Drosophila melanogaster: one gene and its partners. The protein of the gene in region 3 purifies or fractionates together with the protein of the main gene of each other region. This does not show direct contact. Each region holds a gene or a part of one and is shown on either strand. Other genes may lie near its edges.

Region 1 (6,377 bases), on a different chromosome or scaffold from region 3:
CGAAGCCAGGATCATCCGATGAAGAATATTGGTAGCGGAAATCTAAAAACAAAAAAAAACGGATTCAAAGCTGTTTAAACTCAGTTATTTATACGGAGAAGATGAGGAGATTACCATTTGGAGCGCTTGGACCAGTCTTTGGGTGTCCAGTGCAGGCATTTCGAGTCGATGCGGATCTTGCGCTTGTCCATTGCTCGCCGGTGTTGCTCGATGATAACCCGGTTGATGCACACGATGTACTGGCCCTTGTAGTAGTTGATCAGGTTCAGGTTCTGCAGCGTTGAGATCACGTCCTCTTTTTTGATGGATGTGCATTCGCAGATGTCGCTGTGAAGAAAAATTTTGGGAGCATGATTAATCTATGTTTCGGCAATGAAGCACAATCTCTGTGGATTGAAAATTGTATTACTTTAAGCTTAGAACTAGCCATACTTTATAGTTATAGTGGGCTTTTCGCCGTCCGTGCTCGGGTTTTGGCTGATAAAGATCTCCAGTATGGTTTGCGCCCAGTACGATCGATAGGACAGCAAACCCAGATCAGACAATGGTTTCTCCGGCGATCCCGTCTTGCCCTCGAACTTGGACAACTCGTAGCTGAACTCAATGAGCAGCTTGCCGTAGCCCTTGCGCTGATACGGAGGCATTGTGAGAATGCAGGCCACGTTGTAGTCCTCTGTGCTCTCCTTCTCCTTGGAGAAGTACCCTACTATGTGGAAGCCGCGCGAGTCGAACTCTGTCATTACGTAGAAGAGAAACGGATCGGTATCATAGTAGAGTGTCTTGTGGTCGAGAAAGAGTTTGGCAAGCAGGCACAAGTTCTGGGCATACACCTTGTTTTTGCGTCCATCGATTTCAAAGAAGGAAATTGTATGTTTGCGATAGATCTCGTTTCCCGGTGGATGCCTAAGATTGCACTTGGACAGGTGCCTCTCCAGGCACTTCCTGCTCTTCCTGTACTTCAGGCAGAACTCGCAGATGTAGATGCAGGGCATTTGACACAGCTCTTGCGGATAGGGTGAGAAATACCAGGGCTTAATGCGATGCCTGCCCAGCTCGATCATCTCCACGTTCTTCATGCGGGTGACCACGTCGTCCTGGTGCGTAACCATGCTGCCTGATTGCCTCGGCGTGGGCGTCTTGCCATCCTGCGATCCATCACCATCATCATTGGCCGCTCCGCTTATTAAACCGTCGCCGGTCACATGCACGGGCGTAGCCGTGGGTGTCTGCGGAGTTGTAGGATGCGGATGTGACTGCTGCTGTTGACTGGTCAGACTGTGGTGTCCATGGGCCGAGCCTCCGTGGTTTTTTCGCTTGCGATTGATGCGTTTCTGAAGGGCTGCGGCCAGATTGTTGCCATTCACAAGCTCTCCCCCACTGCTTGGTGTTCCGGGTGGAGCCACAGAGTTTGGAATGCCAGCAGGGGGAGGAACACTGCCTGATGCACCAGTAGGAGTCTGGGGGATGGCTGCCAGAGCCCCGGAACCAGGGTGTTGCGGTGATGTAGGCCGAGAAACGCTGCCCGCTAGGGAATGGTGGCGCTGTGGCGTGGTCACTCCAGTGCTGGTGCCTGTTTGTGAGCCGTCTCTCCGCGGAAATTGCACCTTTCGCGTGTACAGATCCTCCTCGTTGACCCACTCGTCCAAGCGCTTGTTGACTGCGGATTGGCAGTTATACTAAATATGCTCCCACTGGACGACTTGGTACTCACAGTCCACATAGTGCACGTAAAACTGCCGGCGCCCATCCAACTCCTTGATGCTCACAATCTCCGCTAGTGGCCAGTCGTCCGTTTTGTGCATCCTGACGGGTAAACGACATCCCTCGGTTAGGGCGGCCTGCAAGTTTGCGGTTAAAACCATTAGAATGAACACCCAAAACACGCCAAGGCGTAGCGGAACCCACCGTTGACTCGCATATGGAGGCCACATCGTCGTCGAACTCATATTTGTGGTTAATTTTCATTTGTTTATATTTTACGCGTTTTTTTTTTCCTAAAACAGCAGTATTGCCAGATAGCGAAACGTAAATAACTATCGACCAATCGATTACCGCCACAGTGAATCAGCGGTTTAAAAATGTTGATGACATGGGCAGTGCTGCGCAGCGTCGCGTCGCCTTTTCAAAGTGCTGCACAACACAACAACAATTCCAGAGAGTTTTTCAATTCGGGTTCGGTATTTTTTCTCATGTGCCTACTGTGCAATTAAACAATTTCGCCCGCTTACAAACAACTGTAACATATTAAGCACAACCGTTCGACTCAATTGCAGTTGCTAGAACTTGAGTGCGCAGTTATGTGCTCCCTTCTTTTCAGTTGCCAAACCAAAAAATAAAAACGCTGAGAAGGTCAGAGAAATGTACACAGGCGTAAATTTGTGTGCGTGTGTGTGGGTGCGTACATTCGTGTGCGCTCGTGTGAGTGCGCAGAAAGTTATACAGCTGTCATCGACTGGCGTATTTATCAATAAATGACTACTGTGATCCGCGGAAAACTTCAGTTACTGGGTAATTGTGACCACAACTGCTGGGCAACTGTGCCGCAGTGCCCCAATGCTGACGAGCTGAGCGGGAAATTGGTGAAAAAGCTGTGTCAAAATGACGTGTTTTGCGATAGTGTTGCCACTGACAACAGCCGCAGGGCTGCCAACTCGATGGGCATATCCCACTAATTAGTTGCAAAACGGGCAGGCAATCTCGTGTTGATTAGTAAGATGCAAGCCTAGAGCAAACGCCGATTTAGCAATCTCAACGGCTTGCCCCTACAAACAACAAACAGCATTTGTCAACCCTGGCACGCAGCGTAGTTAGCAACACTGCTTTTTAGCCAAAAAAAAAAAAAAATAAAAAAAATGAATATGGAAAGAGACCAGTGCTTTTTAAAGAAATTCGAAGTCAGTGGGCCGCAAGGGGTCGCCAAAGACTAAACAGACGCACCTGCTACCACCCACCGCCCCTTGTCGCTCGTCCGCATGACCAGAACAACAACAAATGCTGCAAAACACCCAGTCAGTGGTCCAATGTCTCAGTTTCAGTTTTAGTCTCAACTTCATCCCCATTTCCCAATCAATTGCAGATCCGTGCGCACACATTTCCGTATTCCGGTCTGTTTGCGAGCAATCCGCATCCCCGTGCCCAGGAACCTACGTAAATGCCGCGAGCAAAGGTTTGAGCCGGAGGAGAGCTACTGACGACAGGCCTGTCAAGTGCAGCAGGAGTCCAAACTGATGCGCAATAGGTGGGCTCCCCTGTGCCTCAAACCGTCTGGAAGTCGAGAGGAATCGTTAGGAATCGGCGGAACAGCCTGCAGAGCACTTGCAGTCGCGGTGGCAACCACACGGCGGCTGGGCAGCTGGGCTACCTAGAAACATCGCGAAGAGAAGAAACAGTTTGTAAGCAGTTAATGGGAATGCGAGATATACCCGTTTACTAAAACAAACATTCCCCTCTTCTCACACGCCCTAACAGATTCGAGGAATTCGAATGGCATTTGTTTTTCTCCTTCGTTGCATGCCACCAAACGAAAGAAGATGAACAATGAACAAACGCCGTCATCATCGGACACACCGGCGGATCGTGTGGCATCTGGTGGAGCAGCTGCCAAACTGCCAACGATCATACCGGACACGCCCATCGTCTCGATTGCCGCTGGCACGATGAGCGAGAGCACCACGACGACCACCGTCACCAAAACAACGCCGACGCCGTTCCCACAGGAGCAGCTTATGACCATGATGTCAGACCATGTGGCGAAGGCAGACGCGCAGCTTGACGAGGCCTGTAGGAACCAGGGGGCCAAAGACGAGGACAGCCAAGGAGCGGCACCAGTGGCTGCCAACCATGTAGCCACCAGCGGCAGTAGCAGCAGAGGCAATGACCCCAAGAAGTCATCATCCCCTAGTAATAGCCATAGCTCTGGTAACCACGCAGCCACGGCAGACGCTGCCAAAGGATCCGCAGCAGAAGCAGCAGCAGGAGATACGTCCTTCTCGCAGGTCTTTGCCATGCTAAAGGATTCGCCCAGCGCTGAACTGTCGCGACCAAACCGCAGGGTACTCCAGTACGGAGCCACTGCCAAGGGCAAGACCCAGGACGATCAGAATGTCGGCAAGCGACAGAAGAAGAAAAAGGTAAGTGCGCTCTGGCTGAGTTGCATCTTAAGGTGGAAATATAGTGCATGTTAAGCAGAAACCGAGTTAAGATATTGTTTTATTAAGAAAAAGGTATAGTTATGTTTGTTACTCGCAAAATTTCACATTTGTGTACGTTCTGGAGGCTCCAAAGCTCTATGGTGTTTGGACTCCATATCTTATGCATGGCCAGGCTTGAATAGAGCTCTACCAGGGCGACTAAGTTGAGAAACAACTAAGTAAACGTAAAATTTGAAACTAATTTCGATTTTGGGTGGAATTCCAGTATTGGACAGCAAGTTGTCCGATCTTTACGTTACCACCAAAACCAAGGTATACATAAATTAGATATAAATATTGTTTATTTGCACACTAAGCTATAAACTAAAATAGATTCTTACGCTTGCGGTCCATTAAAGTTGTCGAAAATGAAAATGCCGAAATCCCCTTAAAACATGACCTTTGGAAAAAACTTTAAGTGAGCCGATTACTCACTCACAAACACTGTTTTATCGAAAACCGAATTTTATTAAAAAAAAAATAAATATTGACAGTCAAATTGCATCCCCCTAATGAATACATACTCACATACATACATATATGTATGCGAATAGAAGCCAAAGTACCGTTTACGAAGTTAATGGCAAAGAATTCGAAAATGATGTAGAAATAGACCAAGCATACTGTTATCTCGTTCTGACTGACTGGGATTGTGGCTTTCGAAATAGTGCCGTTACATTTGGTCCCATCAAGTAATCGCCACACAGGAACTTCAATTTCTGATCGCAGTCGGTTTTTTGACCAGCGCCTTCGATAATTATTGAAATCAAGACCCCGAATCGGGCAGAAGGAACGGATAAAACCGCAAAGCGTTTGTTTATCTTATAAAAGCATTGGTGACATCCGCGGCATTAACCACGAAAACTTCTCGCCTATTCCCGTTATTATTTCAGTTATTGTTTTTTTTTTTTTTTTCTGTTTTCTTGTGTTCGTGTGCAACACCATATAGTACACATGTGTGTGCGTATGTAGAGCGTTTACTTACTGGAACCGTGTGCCATTTAATACTTCTATTGCTCTGCGGTCGGTACTTCATCAGTTCGCATAAGGAACTCAGAAGGGCATGTGTTTGGAATAAGTGGAGCTCCGAATTCTTTTGTTTTTTTTTTTTTAGGTTAAGTCGCAGCGATTATTGTTTTACACGCATATGTGTTCGTGTTGATGACCCGAAAAATTGCAAAACTAATTGCCAAATATTGTTCTTCGACGCTTTTGCAGACAAAATACGATACCTGGGAAGATAGCGATTTTAATGATCTGGACGACGCATCATTGAAGAAACTTCTCGAAGAGGCCTACTGGTATCGAAATCCTGGCGACAGGAAGAACAAGAGCGAGCGATTTCTGGTAAGTTTTGGCTCATGTATGTGCAACATATATATGTGTGTATAAATATTTCTGCTTCACGTCTTTTACGCCTGCAGCAAATGCTCAAAAAGGCTGAGTACGACGAAGAGATCTCTTATCGTGCCATCAAATCCTGCCTCACAATCAACCCATCCGCACTAACGTCCAGTGCAGCAACAGGCTCGAGCGGCGGGAGCAGCAGCAGTGCAGGGCACAACAGCAGCTATAATTCCACCAATCACCGGTCAACGGATCCCGGCCAGCGGCACAAGCAGGGCGGCTCCCTGCAGGATCTCGTTGAGGCGGCGCACCGCAGCGAACTGGCCACAACCTCGGCGGCGGCGGCAGCAGCAGCGACAGCGGCAGCAACCCAACGTTTCAACTGTGATTACCAGCTGAGTGGTCGCTCCAATCGCCGGCAGCAGCAGCAGCAACAGCAGCACAACCAAAACGCCACCTCCTCCGCATCCGCATCCAAAAAGATCAAGAACTTAAACGTCTCGGGCCGGCAGCGCGAAGGAGGCAGCCTGCCCAGCAGTGTTAACTTTGAGCCGGCATCGTCTGCCATGGAAGCCAAGCAGAATAAGCAACAGGCTCAGCCTTCGACAGAAGCTGCAGGTGGCTCGTTTTCGGGGTCGGTCGGTAACAAGCACCACCACCGCAGCAGCACCGGCAGTTGCAGCAGCCTGATAACTCAATCGCGCGATACGGAGGCAAACAATCAGTTCGACTTGGACATGGACGATGCGACGGGTGTTGGTGCCAGCGCCGTTGTCGGTGCCAGCGGCGACCAAGACGACAACATGTTGGAGGTAAGCGATGCCAAGTATTGGAGCCATT
Region 2 (6,316 bases), on a different chromosome or scaffold from region 3:
GATTTGTCTTGCCAATTTATATCGGCATGTCCTAACGCCCTTAAAGCGCAAAAGGCTGCCCCCAATCTTCCAAAATGTTTAAATGATTTGTATTTCTATATTTTTTCTTCCCCATTTTTTTCGCCTCCAACTAGCTAGTCAAGGAACTCGACTATAGCGGGTTTCTTGGTTTCTTTACATTACATTAGGCACTGTGAGTACAATATAAAAGTATACATATATTCACATTATAAGAAAAACTGCTCATTAAATAAAAAATCGTATTGATATTTAATAAATTTTGGGACCTAAAGTATTTAAAAACTAATTATTAAAAAAAAGGGAGGTGAAATGAAGTTAAGAATTATTTAAAATGAATCTCTTCCTAAAGTCACAGAATTTGCAAGGTTTACCTCTGCTGTAGATGCCGGGTAACTATTATTTGATAACAAACTACTGTTATTGAAATCATACTTTTTACTAGTATTAACACAATTGACGCTAACGCCAACGATATTCTTTTCGTGCATGTAGCTTGTGCCTGCTGTAGTTGTTCCAGCTATTCCCATAGATGTTCCTATTTGCGCATTAGGCAATACTATTTGGTTGTTAATACTGACTCCAGTACAAGAACTTTTTTCACTTCCGACTCCGACGATGGACTTATTTGATACTACTGACCCACTGATGTTGCCATTTTGTTTAATGTCCTGTACATTTAGAAAGCAAACATTTCCATCTAGACTTCCAGTTAATTTTCGGTAACTGGATATGTTATAAATGGCAGTCGAATTCATATCACCCGAATTCAGTTGTCTACTATTTACTGTCAATATGCTTGAACCGTTACAGATAACCGATGACTGGGCTCTAACTGGTTCAGACGCAGATAAGCTTCTATTTACAACGTTTGTATAGCTTTGTTGATGCTGCTGTGTTTGCTGTGGGTGATGGATTGGTGGATGCTGCTGATTCGTCAAGTGTGGGGACTGTTGAGCGATCTGCGCTGATGCCTTAAGAATGGAGACCACATTGTATGCCTTATTTATCTGAAACTGAGGCTGAGCAGTGGGATGGCTATGCTGCGGTTGAAGAGGCTGATGAAGAGATTGTGGCTTTGAAGTTGGCACCTGTTGATCATACTTTTTGGTCTTTTTATTGGCTGGCAAAATCTACAACAGATCACAAGAGTGGGAACATTTTCGGACTGTAAAATTGATTTAACAATGATTAAAAAAAAATGTTGCCGAATATATAAGTTATAAAAACTATTAGATAATTGGTTAATCCTACTTTATTGCACTTAAACAAAGTATTAAAAAAACCAAAACAAACCCATTTAAAAATAAAATGAAACTGAGAAATCAAGAATCGGAATTTTGAGTAGTATTACACTTCTGCACTGTGAAATTTGAATATTATACTTATGCAGATTTTTTAATACTTTTCAGCCTCAAATTTTGTGATAAATAAATCCAGAATTAACAAATATATATAAAACATGCATTGGGTTTGATAATTTTATTAGGGTTTAGAGTTTTTGTCCTACGTCCCCTATGGACAAATAATGTTTATGGGATTTAGCTGTCTAACACAGTTCAAATGATAGATTACAAGATTAATTAATTAATAAAAAAAAAGTTGTGCGTACAAAATAAGAACACTAAATGATTAAAAACAATTAAACTATTATTTATTTTGTTATAGCTTCATTTAATTTTCCGACTGTTGCTCCTTAGTCGTCGCCGGCATGTTGACAATTAGCCTTAAAACCAAAGTTATACGCGGTCAAAAAACGGTGTATATCAAGTTGTCATTCAGAAATAAAAAGTATGAAGCTATTATCTTCTGGACTATTTTATATTTATTTTACTCGGCTGCTGATACTGATAAAGAATATATATATAATTTATATGGTCCCAAATATCTCTTTTACTGCGATTTAAATATATGCCTTATATCATTAAGCCCTTCAAAAGGACATCACTATAAAATACAATATCAAGTTGACATTTTATGAATAAAAACAACGAAACTATTATATTAGGGACTATTATATATGGACTGATTCTGTGACTTGGATATGTGAAATCATTAATCCTTTAAATCAATATAATAAAATACATTTCGAATATTTTTTTTCCCTTGGATAGATTAATCACAATGCGTTTTGAGTTTAGCTTTAAAATTACGTTGCTGAGTGTCTGCCAGTTACCAACAAACCAGATTCAGCATCCATTTTTGGAGCCACCGTTGAAATAAAAATTTTTTTAATTAATATTTTTACCGATAAAAACTATATGATTTATGTATGTTTGGAAAAACGCGGTTTTTTATAGTTTAGGTTTTAAATAAAGTACTTCATACCATGCCCGGAAGAGCTTCATTTATGAATTATGTAGCTTTACAGGACTAGAACAATTATTAGTATTCAATCAAGTTCGTTAAAAAAATTTTTAATTTTTTAATTCATTTAGTAAGTAACTTAAATAATTGTAATCGCAAACATATATTTTATAAATTTTTTAATTGAATTATATACCTTTTATACAAACCGCAATATTTATAAAACAAACATATAAAAAAATTCCACAAAAATAGCATTTTCTTTTTAAACTTTGCTGTTATTGTACGAGAAGTGTGATACTATCTTAATAGATTGTTTACATTGACTACAGCAGGCAAACTTATAAAAAATAGGTTTTAGCTCTTTTCGGAACTAGGAAAACATATTTATTTAACGAACTAATTTAAAACAATTGCAAGGAAAGTAATACAGCAAATAATGTCAAAATGTATATATGTAAATAATTTTGGAGATGTTATTTTTATATCGACTTACCATATTTTGTGCTGAATGGGGCTGCATGGCTTTATCTATATCTGATTGTGTTGGTAAAGTTGGTATAGCCTGTTGCATTACGTATGTGTATTCCTAGAGTTAGCTCTGTAGGAAATCGCCAAACGGTTAGATTTACCGTTTCATAGACGATTTCTGTGGTGATTTTGGACCCACAAATACGACGTCATTCAATCATTTGATTCTTTAATGAATATTAATGAATATTAATTGTCCACGTTTCAGTTCTGCATATTTTACCTGGAAATATATTGATATACAGCTACCAGAGAGGTCTCTGAAATTAAAAGAACTGACACGTATAAAATCATTAAATATCACAAAAGATTTCACCCAAATGTTTCAAAAATATAAAGTAGACATTTTGTAATTTATTAAGTCTAGAGCTGAAGCCCAGAGATAATTTCTATTAAACATTTGCCAATCCATCCTGGAGCCTTACTTATTTGCCGACGTTGCCGTTGTGACTTTGGAGATTTCGTTCTCACAATCACAATGGTGCATATGGTGAAAACGTGCCACGAATTCCATCGTTTACATCATTTTTAAAAAGTTAAGACACATTTCAGAATGTTAGTGGTAAAATCTTTTTTCCCTTCACTGTGCACAGTAAACTTGCAAAGTATCATGTAATATTTGTTGCCCAGTGCTCATTATTAACCATCAATTTACCTGAGCAAATGTTTGTATGTGCCTATCCGACGTGATTATGTACAAAAAATACAAATGTTAAGAATTCCACTTTAAGTGTATTTTAAAAATGTATTTATTTATAAAAATGAAGCAGTAATTCCAGCTTTATCTTTACATTCAAAAACTATTTTTTAATAATTTCCACATGCAATGTGTTCTGTTCATACGAACAGAGTTGCATTTATTATTTGAAACATCGATAGCACACAAGAAATAGTGATAACTGAAGAATATCATTATCAACGATAGTTAGGTCACATTTTTAAACGCTTCATCATTAATAATTTAATTTTTTGCTAACCATAAGTTTTTAAAAATAAAAAAAAAATCATATTTCAATGTTAATTATTTACTAAAACTACTTCATAATACGTTTATTCTATTGAGGTTTGCCAAAATTATAATAATGATTGTACATGCTATGCCAGCGTTCAATTCCTGATAATGAGCCCTTTCCGCAACATGGCTAAATAGATCATTATATCTAAGAATACAACATATGGGCAACTTTAAAACAAAATGTTAATTTCATCGTAATTAGGGTTTCTTGAACGTAAAATATAATTAGTTAATTATGGCCAAAATAAGACCCTTTCACACTGACTAAAATACATATGACAATAAAGAAATTGGTAAAAAACGATTCTATATTACATCAAAATATCGATAAATAAAAGAATTTAAATCAAAACAAAAATAATCCGTATTCAGACCCAATTATTTTATATTATTATTATATATTTTTTTTTTTTGGCACGGGTCCAACGGCGACACCTCCCGACCAACCGAACGAGGGGCGCTGCCGTGTATCGTACGCCTCGATTAGCGAGAGGATAGACGCGATATAAAAAAGAGAACAGGATCGAGGAAATGAATATAATATAAAATAACTATATTAAATATTACTGTTAGTAGGATCTAATCATAAAATAAAAAAAGGTAAAATCAATTGCTTTGTGAGCGGCAGAGAGTCAAGATTACAGATATTAGGATAAAGTCTATTATAATCAGAACATAATACTCTGTAAGGGTCACGCAACTCATAGTTAGATCTACAATGATTTAAAATAAGGAACTGAGAACTGAAATAAGGAACTGAGAACTACTACTGAGAACTACTTCGAACTGAGAAGTTAAGCCGACTAATCAAGTCAGAACTCTTAACATCCCCACGAATAAGCTTACAAATAAAGACTGTTCCAAGCATAGTTCTACCAAAGACACTAGAATAACAAGATGCGTAGCGGCCATACATTGGTTTGGCACTATGCAGCCAATTTTTTAGTGACGGCCAAAATTGCTCTCTTTCCGCTCGCTCCCGCTGAGAGCATAAGAAATCTAAAAATAGAATTTGCTTGCTTGTGTGAGTAAAAACAAGAGACGAGAACGCATATATGTGTGCGTGTTGTGCTAGAAGACGATTTTCGGACCGAAATCAATTCTGATCGAAAAAACGAATTTACATTGTACATATTAGGGTAGTTTTTGCCAATTTCGTAGCAATATGATAAAATAAAATAATTTTTAACTGACTATTATCATTTTAAAGCTTTTTAAATTTGTTTGTTAAAATCGCCGCTCGAATTAGCTACCGTTTACACATTTATATTTATGTTTAATTCTAATTTGTCTCTCATCTGACAATTTTTTAAGAAAGCGAAATATTTTTTTTTTTAAACACTTTTAATGTTAATGTTACATCATATAAAGTCAAATGACATAATAAATATAGTAAATAATTAAATATGATAACTGTTTATTGCAAAAGTCATATCAAAGACACTAGAATTATTCTAGTGTCTTTGCTTTGTTCATATCTTGAAGCACGAAGTACGGACACAAGCACTCAACAATCATTGCCTTATTAATTTTTCACACGCCGCAAGATGAATACTCTAATGACAAATATTCTTATATAAAGTCATTTTTGAAATTTATTTTTGTGATAATATGTACATAGATTTGGCTATTTCTAATCTATTTTCATATAATAATAACGTTAAGGCAATGCAAAACAAGAATTTTTCGCATGGTGCCAATTGATCAAAAATAATATAGATTTAAAGTCAAAGAACTTCTAAGGTGAAGGGCATATTTTGTGAAATTTACAATGCATGAGCGAGCATACGTGTGCACACATACAGTTGTCTGCTATCACTTTATGCGATGAAAAGAGCTGTTCGCTGTAGCACTCTCCGCTCTCTCGCTCTCTAACAAAAATTCGAGAGAGCCTGGAGCCACCTCTAGAGCCACGGCGAAAAAATCGTGTGCCAAAAAATCGTATGGCGTTACGCATCTTGTTATTCTAGTGTCTTTGGTTCTACGGTTAGCTAGGGACGGTAAATTAAATTAACGTAGTGTACTGGAATAAGGAGGTAATATACGGTTTGCATCCCACTTTAGGCGCCGCAAGCAAAACGTAATAAGTTTTTTTGGACCGATTCAATGCGGTCCGAGTGGACTGCGTATTGTGGACTCCAAACAGGTGATAGTGATCCGTACTCGAGAATCGGACGGACTAACGAAATAAATAAGGTTTTAGTCAATTAAGGATCATCAAATTCCTTAGACCACCTTTTTATAAAACCATGCACACCCCTGGCCTTATTGACAATAGACGAAATATGGTCAGAAAATTTTAGTTTAGGGTCCAGAAGACCACCAAGATCATCAACCCGTGTTATTCTCTCCAAAGAGTGCTCTTTGGGTGGGTGCCCACTTAGAGCGTAAGTCATAACGTTACACTTGGAGCCATTTAAGTCTAATACGTTATCACGGCACCAT
Region 3 (8,782 bases):
ATATGGCATCTCATCTCATATGAAAGCAATATCATATATGTATGTTAATATTAAATAGATATTAAACATAAAAATCCATCCCACCCACATTCCGCTGAAAAATGAAAACACTCGCTTTTGCCGAAGTGGAATTTTATTGTAATTAAATTTGTTGGGTGTACAAAGGTATGTTTTAAGGACTTTCTCTCTGCATTTATTACAATTTCTTCAAATGGTTTTAATTGCTGGGCTTTTGCTTCGAAGACGGGCAATCAAGTTTCAAGAATCCTATTTTCTTTAATCATACAAATTATGTTTTATTTCGCTTTAATATATAAGGATACATATATATATCTGCTATATATAGAAGTGTGTTGACTTGCGTATATTTCGTGAAAAGTAAAAGTTTTCTTCTTCGCAATTTCCCTTGAACTAACATTCCAATTCGGGTTTTGGTTATGTTTTTTTTTTCTGTTTTACTCTCATTATTTTGTTTGTTTGTTTTTTTTAAATAATTTTGCATTTTCTGCATACATGTGGTTTTGTGTTTTGCAATTTTTTCAATGATTTTTCCTTGGGTTTTTATTTGTTTTTAGTTTTCGATTTGTTTAATAAAAAAATATGTATTTCACTGCCCAGAGCGAAAGCCATTTCTTACTTCCGCTTGCGTTAATATATCATTTTATGTATGTATGGTGTAAAAACATCATTTACTGGTAAAACTCTCGATATCCTTTGTAACAGAAATCGGAACGCAAATGAAATCGAGGCGACTTACCAGCTCCTTCTCATTAAATACATATATGTTCTTGCAAATGTTTATAAATGTATGCATGTTTTTCCTTCTCTCGGATAATAGTGTAATCATAAAAATCCTGTCTGCTTTTTTGTTGTTTATTAATATGCTTCATAAGTTGTTTACGCTTTAGCGCTTTTCATGTGTTTCTTGTATTTCTCATATATGTTGTGGTTGTTTAATATGTGTGTTGCTGTGTGTGTGTTTTTGTGTTTATATATATTATTTTTTTTTTGCTGTTTTTACATAGGTTTTGCCATTTTTTTGTAGTTTTTTCGATTTATGTTTTGTTTTCATTTGTCAACATATTTTTTCAGCTGTTGGTATTCTGTATTTTCTCTCTTTTTTCAAAGTAGCAAAAACTTGACTCTCATATTCTTGCGGTTTTCTTTTTCTTTCTTTCTTTCTATTCTTCTGTTCTCTGCACAGTTTGCTTTCCATTTTTTCGTTTTTATTTTAACTCTTTTGCAATTTTTTTGTTTTTTCTTTGCTTTTTTAAAAGTGTATGGTTGTCGCGTTTCTTTTTCTAAACAAAGCTTTCTTAAAGTTTGAATTTGAGAAAAAAGAATTGAAAAAAATTACATATCGCTTTCGTGTTTGTTGTTGTTTGAAAGTGTGGATGGAAAAAGTGTACGAAAAACTCAATATGTATGTAACACTAGAAACTTCTTTAAAATTTTTAAAACACAATTTCAATACTTGCAAGAAGCGGTTTACATGTATGCTTTGCTTTAATCTGTTTATTTTGCAATGGTTTTTTGGTGTTTTCATTATACGCATACAAAATAATATCGATCCAGTTAAAGCAATAACGAAATTTTTTTCATTTCACATTTTTCCGTTTTTTTTTTTAATTAACATGTTTATGTAAAAAAAAAGAATTTATAAGTGGACTGCAGAATTTGATTGCGTGACTTTCTTCTTTTGCTTCGTGTACTTGCGTAAATGCGTTCGAAATTAAATGATTGAAATTGCTTTTGTTGATGTTTCTGGGATTAGAAAAGAAAAAGCCGTAGATTTTTCGCTTTGTTTTTCTGTGTTAATTGTGTGTCCTTGGCAATCCTCCCCTGCGCAAAGCATCAGTGAATGCGAATTTTTGTTGTTCATGTATTGAAAGATTAGTGGAAAACTGCAAGGACAAAAGAGAGGCGAGTTTAGACAGCTTGAACTTTTCGGAAAATTTGTAGACTACTTACTTTTTGGGTGTAAAGTGTTCTTGTAAAATGTTCATACGCTTGAGCTGTTCGAGCTTAGTTGGCGGGCTCGGTGACGCGGTGCACCTGAAGCACGGCCACAGCCTCCTCCACCTTGGCCTTAAGGGCCTCCTGATCCTCGATCATGTGCAAGAGCTCAGAGTTTTCGATCTCCAACAACATGCCGGTGATCTTACCAGCCAAATTGGCGTGCATATGCTCAATCATCGGATACAGACGCTCGCCCAGGATCTGTTTCTGCTCCTGCGGCTTGGCGTTGGCCAGCAACGAGGCAATGAGCTTCTCAGAATCTGCAAGAAAAATAGCAATGGTGCCATTAGTGACAAATTGTGCATATTTTCAGTCGACCTAAAACTTACTCTTTCCTTGCAATTGCTGTGGAATTGGCTGGGTCTGATGCAACTGTGGCACTGGAGGATTGCGCATGTTTGAGGTGTACTTATAGTTGGAAGTACGCTGCTGGGCACCGCCAGCGATTTGGGCTCCGGGGATCTGCATGTTGGGTGCTGCAGTTTGCTGGCCAGTAATAGCGCGTGCTCCAGTGTTGCGCATGTTGTTAGCCGCAGCAGCGGCGGCATGTGTGCCCTGCACCTGAGGCTGTGCCCCGCGAGCGCCAGCAGCAGCCGAACGGAACTGAGTGGGCACCGCACCGGCTGTGCCCTGGAAGCCACCAGCAGCGGCAGCTCCGGCCTGGACACCCTGTATGGCTGCTGGGGGACGCACCTGGGGCACCCAGCGGGGTGTGTTTCTCATCTGAGTGGCCACCTGGGAACCGAAGAAACGCTGATTTGACGGAAGGGTCGGCACAAAGAAGCCGCTAGCCGCGTTGGGCTGGTAGATCTGTCCCAGCTGCTGCATACGCATGCCGGTCATGTGACGCATGTACTGCGAGGCGAGATGAGCCTTGCGCTCCTCCTTCCTTTGGGCCAAAGCAACGTACAACGGCTTACTGCCGACGACGCGACCGTTCAGCTCGGTGACGGCGCAGGTAGCCTCGCTTGCGGCATTGAAGCACACGAAGCCGAATCCCTTGGAGCGACCCTCCTCATCGGTCATGACCTTGGCCGATGTGATGTTGCCGTATGGAGAGAACGCGATGCGCAGACGATCGTCATCGATTGTGTCGTCCAGGTTCTTAACGTACAAGTTAACGCCGAACACAGACTCGTGACGCTTCTGCTTCAGTTCCTCGAACTTGCGCTTCAGCTCCTGCTGGCGTTCGGCCTTCTTCTGGGCACGAGCCACGTACAGGGACTTGCCCTCTCCCATGTCCTTGCCATTGAGAGCCTGAACGGCCGCCTCAGCAGCCTCTGTTGTCTCGAATGCAACGAATCCGAAGCCCTTGCTCTTGCCATCCTCCTTGGACATGACCTTGTAGCTGGTTATCTTGCCGTAGGGCTCAAAGAATTCCTTCAGTTTTTCATCGTCGAAATCCTCAGTGAAGTTCTTCACATATACATTGGTGAAGAGCTTAGCCTTCTCGCCCAGCTCCTTCTCGCGCTCCTTGCGCGGGATGAACTTACCCACGTAGACCTTCTTGCCGTTGAGCAACATGCCATTGACTTTGTCGATGGACGTGTTTGCGGCCTCCTCGGTCTCGAAGTGGACGAATCCATAGCCCTTTGAGTTGCCCTTTTCATCGGTGGCTACCTTGCAGCTTAAAATGTTGCCGAAGGCGGAGAAAGTGTCGTAGATTGCCTTGTTGTCGATGGCCCTATCTAAGTTCTTGATGAACACGTTGCCCACACCTGAGCGACGAAGAGAAGGATCACGCTGAGACCACATAATGCGAATGGGCTTGTTGCGAACCAGGTCAAAGTTCATGGTGTCCAAAGCACGCTCAGCTGTTGATGAAAATCGGGAAAACATTTGGTTACTACCGACACGATTTGGGTATATCAAGATCATTATAAGTTGAAGGGGCTTAAATAACAATGTGACTCTTCAACTTCTGCACTGGCCATGAGCAAAAGCAGCGCAGTGCATGGTAAGTCAAGTCTGATCTTTTATCTGGCAACTATGAATCTTAGTCGTGTCAAAAAGGGTTGAATCTGACCAACCAATGGGTAGGAGTTGCTAGATGTCTAAATACAAGGACAATCTTATCAGTCTAATCATGTGATACATTGAGTGTTTGTTATGCAGATGGTATGCAAAACCCATCAGCATGGTAAGTCGCATTGCTTTCTCTGGCAACTATGAATCTTAGTCGTGTCAAAATGGGTTAAATCTGACCAACCAATGGGTAGAAGTTGCTAGAAGCTTAGATAAGAAAGGGCATAATCCTTCGAGTCTAATCATATGATGTATTATTTAGTGTTTGTTATGCTTCTACTTCTGTGGATGGCATAGATCAGCCATCTACATGGTAAGTTGCATTGCTTTCTCTGGCAACATTGAATCTTAGTCGTGTCAAAAAGAGATAAATCTGACCAACCAATGGGTAGGAGTTGCGAGATATGAATCGAAAAAAGAAAAACATTTAGGGTGTTACTAGTCTAGAACGAGATGGTATCATTTTTGAAAGGTCTGTTTTTCCAACCTAACCTTAACAGCTAGAGTTCAAGAAACTTGCTGGAATGCGACAGACTTTCACACGCAGCGTAATCATCACCAACCGCCAGCTTTGTGCCATTGTGCGCTTAATTGAATAAACAAATGTAAGCGAACAACGGGAATCGAAGAAGCACCAACTATGCGCAGTGAAAGTTTTGTTTTCGTTTTTTGTAAAAACAAGATTTTGATGGTTAAAAGAGAGGCCGAAAAGCAGTTCACTGACATGTCAAGAATTTGGAAGTGTTGATGGATGGAATGCGGAGAGTATGGAAGATATGAGAAAGTGAAAGCAAAACAAAAGTTGGAGGCAGTACGAAAACTAAAGAGCGAACGTGCGGAAACTCAGTTAATGGAATATAACCTAAAATAGATGAAGGCCAAAAAGAAATGGTCCAAACAACAATGAACACATGTTTTTGCGCGTCGGCGTGTGCGTGCGCGCAAGTTTGCCGCTTGGAAACAACACACATCACACGAATAAAACGAGAAGAACGGGCAAGGAAACAATGAAACCACCAATGGGCGGGGCTGCGATAAGCAGTTTGGGCAGTATGGAACCATATTATTCCATCATAATTGCAATTTTGTGCGAAATTGAGACGGAAATTTCTAGGCGAACAGTTGATGAGTGCCACGAGCCAGCTGTTTAGCCCCCATCATCCCCCCGCACAAATCGTATACATCCAGAATAACTGGAACTGATATAATCATGTGTGTGTGTGTACACACTGGCGGGAATTGAGTGCGTGTGTGTGTGCGCGACGAGATTAACGTAAGCAGTGCACTGTGGAACAAGTTATGAAACACTTGGAAGCCGTTTATCTGGTCTCCTATGAAAGACATCTTTCAATAAAGTCCAGTTTGGACTTGCGTTTAGCCCCACTGTATGACATGCGCTAGTGTGCGTGCGTGTGTGAGTAAGCGAGTGCAAAACTGCACACGTGTTTTCTTTGTTTCGCGCGGAAGGGGGCTACTTTTGCGGGCAGTAAGACTAAAAAAATTACACTACTTTTGCGGGGATTACTCACCATCGGCTGGCTGCTGGAAGTTGACGTAGGCATAGCCCAACGAGCGACGGGTAATCACATCGCGGCAGACACGAATGGACAGCACTGGACCAGCAGACGAGAACTTGTCAAAAAGTCCCGATTCGTTGACGTCCTGTGGGAGATCACCGACGTATAGAGAAGCCATATTTGGTGATCAGGTCTACCTGCAATTTTTAACAATTAATTTCCACTTTTTTGACACTGAATTTTGGGTTTTTTCTTAATCTTTACGGACCGGATGGATTCGACCAGGCAGGCGGTGAAATAGAAAGAAAAAAAGCGGCGTGGCTTTCGGTCTTCTATTCGTCTCTCTGTCTGTGTGTCTGGGTGGCAACACTGGTACATGTGACAGTCGGTAGACATGGCAACGTTGGCATTTGCTTTGTTGTTGCTCTTTGCTCTCCCCTTTTATTTCTCTTCGTGTTGGAAAATTTCCACACAGACACAAAGATAGACACGCGTTTGCCTGATCGAATTTTGGGGAATTCTTTGATTTTCTCGAAAATATGCGACAACTAGTTCCTAGACCACTATTTTGCGGGCAATCTGGCGTTTATAGACGCCATCTTTGAGCGAAGAACGACCGCAAACAAAGCAAATTTCGATGGGAAAGGAAAATTTCCCTATTCGCTTTGTCGTGCGTTGCGCCCTCTCACTCTCTACACCATTGTAACCAATAGCTTTACACTGTACTTACTTCTCAAACACGCTCGATTTTTTTTGCTACTTTTTACAATTTTTTTTGTTACGTTTTTGTGTTTTAATATTTTTTTTTATTTTTTATATGTTTTTTCTTCACAAAAAATATGTGATAAGCCGTGTGCTGAAAGCGAATCCACGACCGCTCACGTAAACGGACTCTACACGACTCATAGAGAGGAGATTCGTTAGCGATGACCCCACAAAGTATCGATTAAATCCCACTGCACAATGCTGCCACATAGGGTTAGAGACAAATAAATGTCACTAAAAAATCCGTGAGGACAATTTACTAATTACGAAGCATTATTTTGAATTTCAAAAAAGCCAGCCATCACACATAAAAAATTTTTATATTTAGCTAATTCCCGAAACATGAAATACTTGTGCATTTTCAGGGGTTCTTTGGTAACTCTGCTTCATTTATGTTCTGATATTTTCGCCAATGTCCTTGAATACTTTGTCTCATAAAACACAATCCAAAATTAGGAATGCAGTTTTTTTTTCTTTTAAAAATGAGCGTAGACTTTTAGAAAATGATTTTTTGGCACTGCACAGATATTAGCGTATGCTCCGAAAACCGAATCCCATCTTTGTAATTCCCCACTGTGCGAACTTACCTAAATCAGAGAATAAAGCGATGAGGCTGCAAGTCGACACTCCGAGAAGTGCTTGAGTACTTCTTTTCGTTCTCGATGGAAATCGGCACTACAGAGATTGAAGAATTTTTTAAGTTTTTTTTTTGTGTTTTTGTTTTTACGAAATAGACCACATTCAAGGATGGCTGAGGATAATTTTTTTTTTCTTTTTCCCGTTTTGAACGTCTGGTGCATGTGCCCTATCTGGCGATCGAGTACCTAATGAAGCGGTGTGAGGCGTCGGTGCCTGACAAGCTTCAAAGCGAAGTGTCACTTTGGGCGCCTACTGGCGTGTCCTGAGTAAAATCTTAAAAGATTTGACATTTCGGAAACATTTATTTGGGCATTATATACTTCATTAAACATATTTCGATCTGGTTTGGCCAAACATTTACTTGGCTTGAGAATTAGTTTGCTTTCAACTCAATTTTGATTTTTCGTAGCATTTAATAGTTAAACATAAAACGTACTGGCTTAATTCATTATTGTGTAGTTTTGCCTAGACTATGGGTGAAAATTATTGAACTAGTCCTACATTTTATTAAATTTGTGTGTATGTATGTATATCAATTGTTTTTTTTTTGTATGCATGACATGATTTGTGAGTTTTCCCATTTGAAGGTATATTTTTCAAAAACATACATGGGCGTGGCGTATCGCTAAAGTACAGTACTGAACTTAACTGAATTGTTCTCATTATTTAATACGTTTTCATTCATCAGCGAATTTTACATAGGCTTCCAGATTAATCTTGTAATACTTTTACCAATTTTGTGAAAACTTATTTATGTTCTGCTGCAACACTTAACTGCCATTGCACAATTATAACCTGTATTCAGTTGCTTTTTGCTTTTTTTTCGTTTTTTTTTTTTACAATTTAACATTTTATCGCTTTAATGCTGAACCAATATTTTGAACAATCTTTTTCTATTTTGGCAGTGGGTTGGTAATAAACTTTTAAACATTAACAAATAAAGAGGCCCGTAGTTGGCAGCGTTCATTAATACATAATAACGAAAAGAAATGATAATGGAAATGAAGAATATAAAATTCATAATGAGTCGGTATGCCAAAGGGTTCAATTTCCAAGCAATCCAATCGCCGTTGTCGCTGTATCTCCGCCCCACTCCACCAGGTACTGGACCTGTCCATTTCCCATGCGCCGCTTGGCCCGAATGGCAAAGGGCTCACCAGCATCTATGCGATTCATAGCGCCACCAAAGTACTTGTTCACCGACTGCTTCAAGTCCAGCATGGAATGTCCTGGGGCTCCAATGCCGTTGCTGCTGCTGCTGGTTGCCGTCGAGCTGGTGGAGTTCCGGCGGCTTTGGCTGGGTGACTGCTTCTGTGGTCGCTGGCGCAACAGGCGCCCATGTGTCGGCTTTCCCATTGGCGGCGCGGGTGGCTGCAGATCTTTGGCATAGATAGGAAGGTAGTGGCTGGGTATGGGATTGATGGTGGTGGTGCTGATGACCTATTAAGTGGAAACGAAAAAAACATCTCAAACATTATAGTTACATTGTTGTTAGTTAAACTCTTACCTCAATGGCCGTGGTCAGGCGGCGAGTGCGTCGTCTGCGCACTTCCTGATTGGGCCCTATCGTAATGTCTTTGGCACTCAGTCTTCGCTTGATGGTGCGCACCATGCGCGGCTGCTCCTTGGAGGTGCCCTTAAGCTTGAAAATGCTGTTTATGATGCCATTTACTCCGACTCCAGTTCCCACAGAAATACTTCGTCCCTGCGACGCCTTTTTGGGAGTGGCCATAAGGAATGGATTGTTGCGTCCCAAAAAGTTGACCGGCGGTGGTATGATGAGGTCCAACGAACTGGTTCCCCGACTGCTGCTTGAA

Evidence for each region. Proteins that work in one complex are often made in the same cells at the same time.
Region 1: the proteins of pAbp (region 3) and tyf purify together in Drosophila melanogaster (affinity purification with western blotting; 4 studies listed by BioGRID, with this or other methods). This does not show direct contact.
Region 2: the proteins of pAbp (region 3) and eIF4G1 purify together in Drosophila melanogaster (affinity purification with western blotting; 3 studies listed by BioGRID, with this or other methods). This does not show direct contact.

What each region holds. Positions count from the first base shown.
Region 1 is NC_004354.4:4,114,888-4,121,264, forward strand, and holds the start of tyf (twenty-four), read left to right. Parts: upstream 1-2,662; 5' UTR 2,663-3,008; intron 3,009-3,076; 5' UTR 3,077-3,392; intron 3,393-3,468; 5' UTR 3,469-3,530; coding exon 3,531-4,130; intron 4,131-4,826; exon of another isoform or gene 4,827-5,408; coding exon 5,409-5,537; exon of another isoform or gene 5,538-5,553; intron 5,554-5,614; coding exon 5,615-6,349; intron 6,350-6,377. Other genes in the region: Tip60 (Tat interactive protein 60kDa), read right to left, coding at 42-42, 115-327, 433-1,657, 1,712-1,838, 1,906-1,965.
Region 2 is NC_004353.4:927,001-933,316, forward strand, and holds the start of eIF4G1 (eukaryotic translation initiation factor 4G1), read right to left. Parts: upstream 3,716-6,316; 5' UTR 3,512-3,715; exon of another isoform or gene 3,282-3,511; intron 3,132-3,281; 5' UTR 3,080-3,131; intron 3,024-3,079; 5' UTR 2,900-3,023; coding exon 2,822-2,899; intron 1,152-2,821; coding exon 393-1,151; intron 1-392.
Region 3 is NT_033778.4:18,138,464-18,147,245, reverse strand, and holds pAbp (poly(A) binding protein), read right to left. Parts: upstream 7,169-8,782; 5' UTR 6,914-7,168; intron 6,470-6,913; exon of another isoform or gene 6,292-6,469; intron 5,872-6,291; exon of another isoform or gene 5,830-5,871; intron 5,759-5,829; 5' UTR 5,740-5,758; coding exon 5,574-5,739; intron 4,445-5,573; exon of another isoform or gene 4,308-4,444; intron 4,247-4,307; exon of another isoform or gene 4,104-4,246; intron 4,068-4,103; exon of another isoform or gene 3,922-4,067; intron 3,834-3,921; coding exon 2,349-3,833; intron 2,280-2,348; coding exon 2,026-2,279; 3' UTR 1,972-2,025; intron 1,905-1,971; 3' UTR 1,011-1,904; downstream 1-1,010. Other genes in the region: Pcl (polycomblike), read right to left, coding at 8,010-8,405, 8,473-8,782.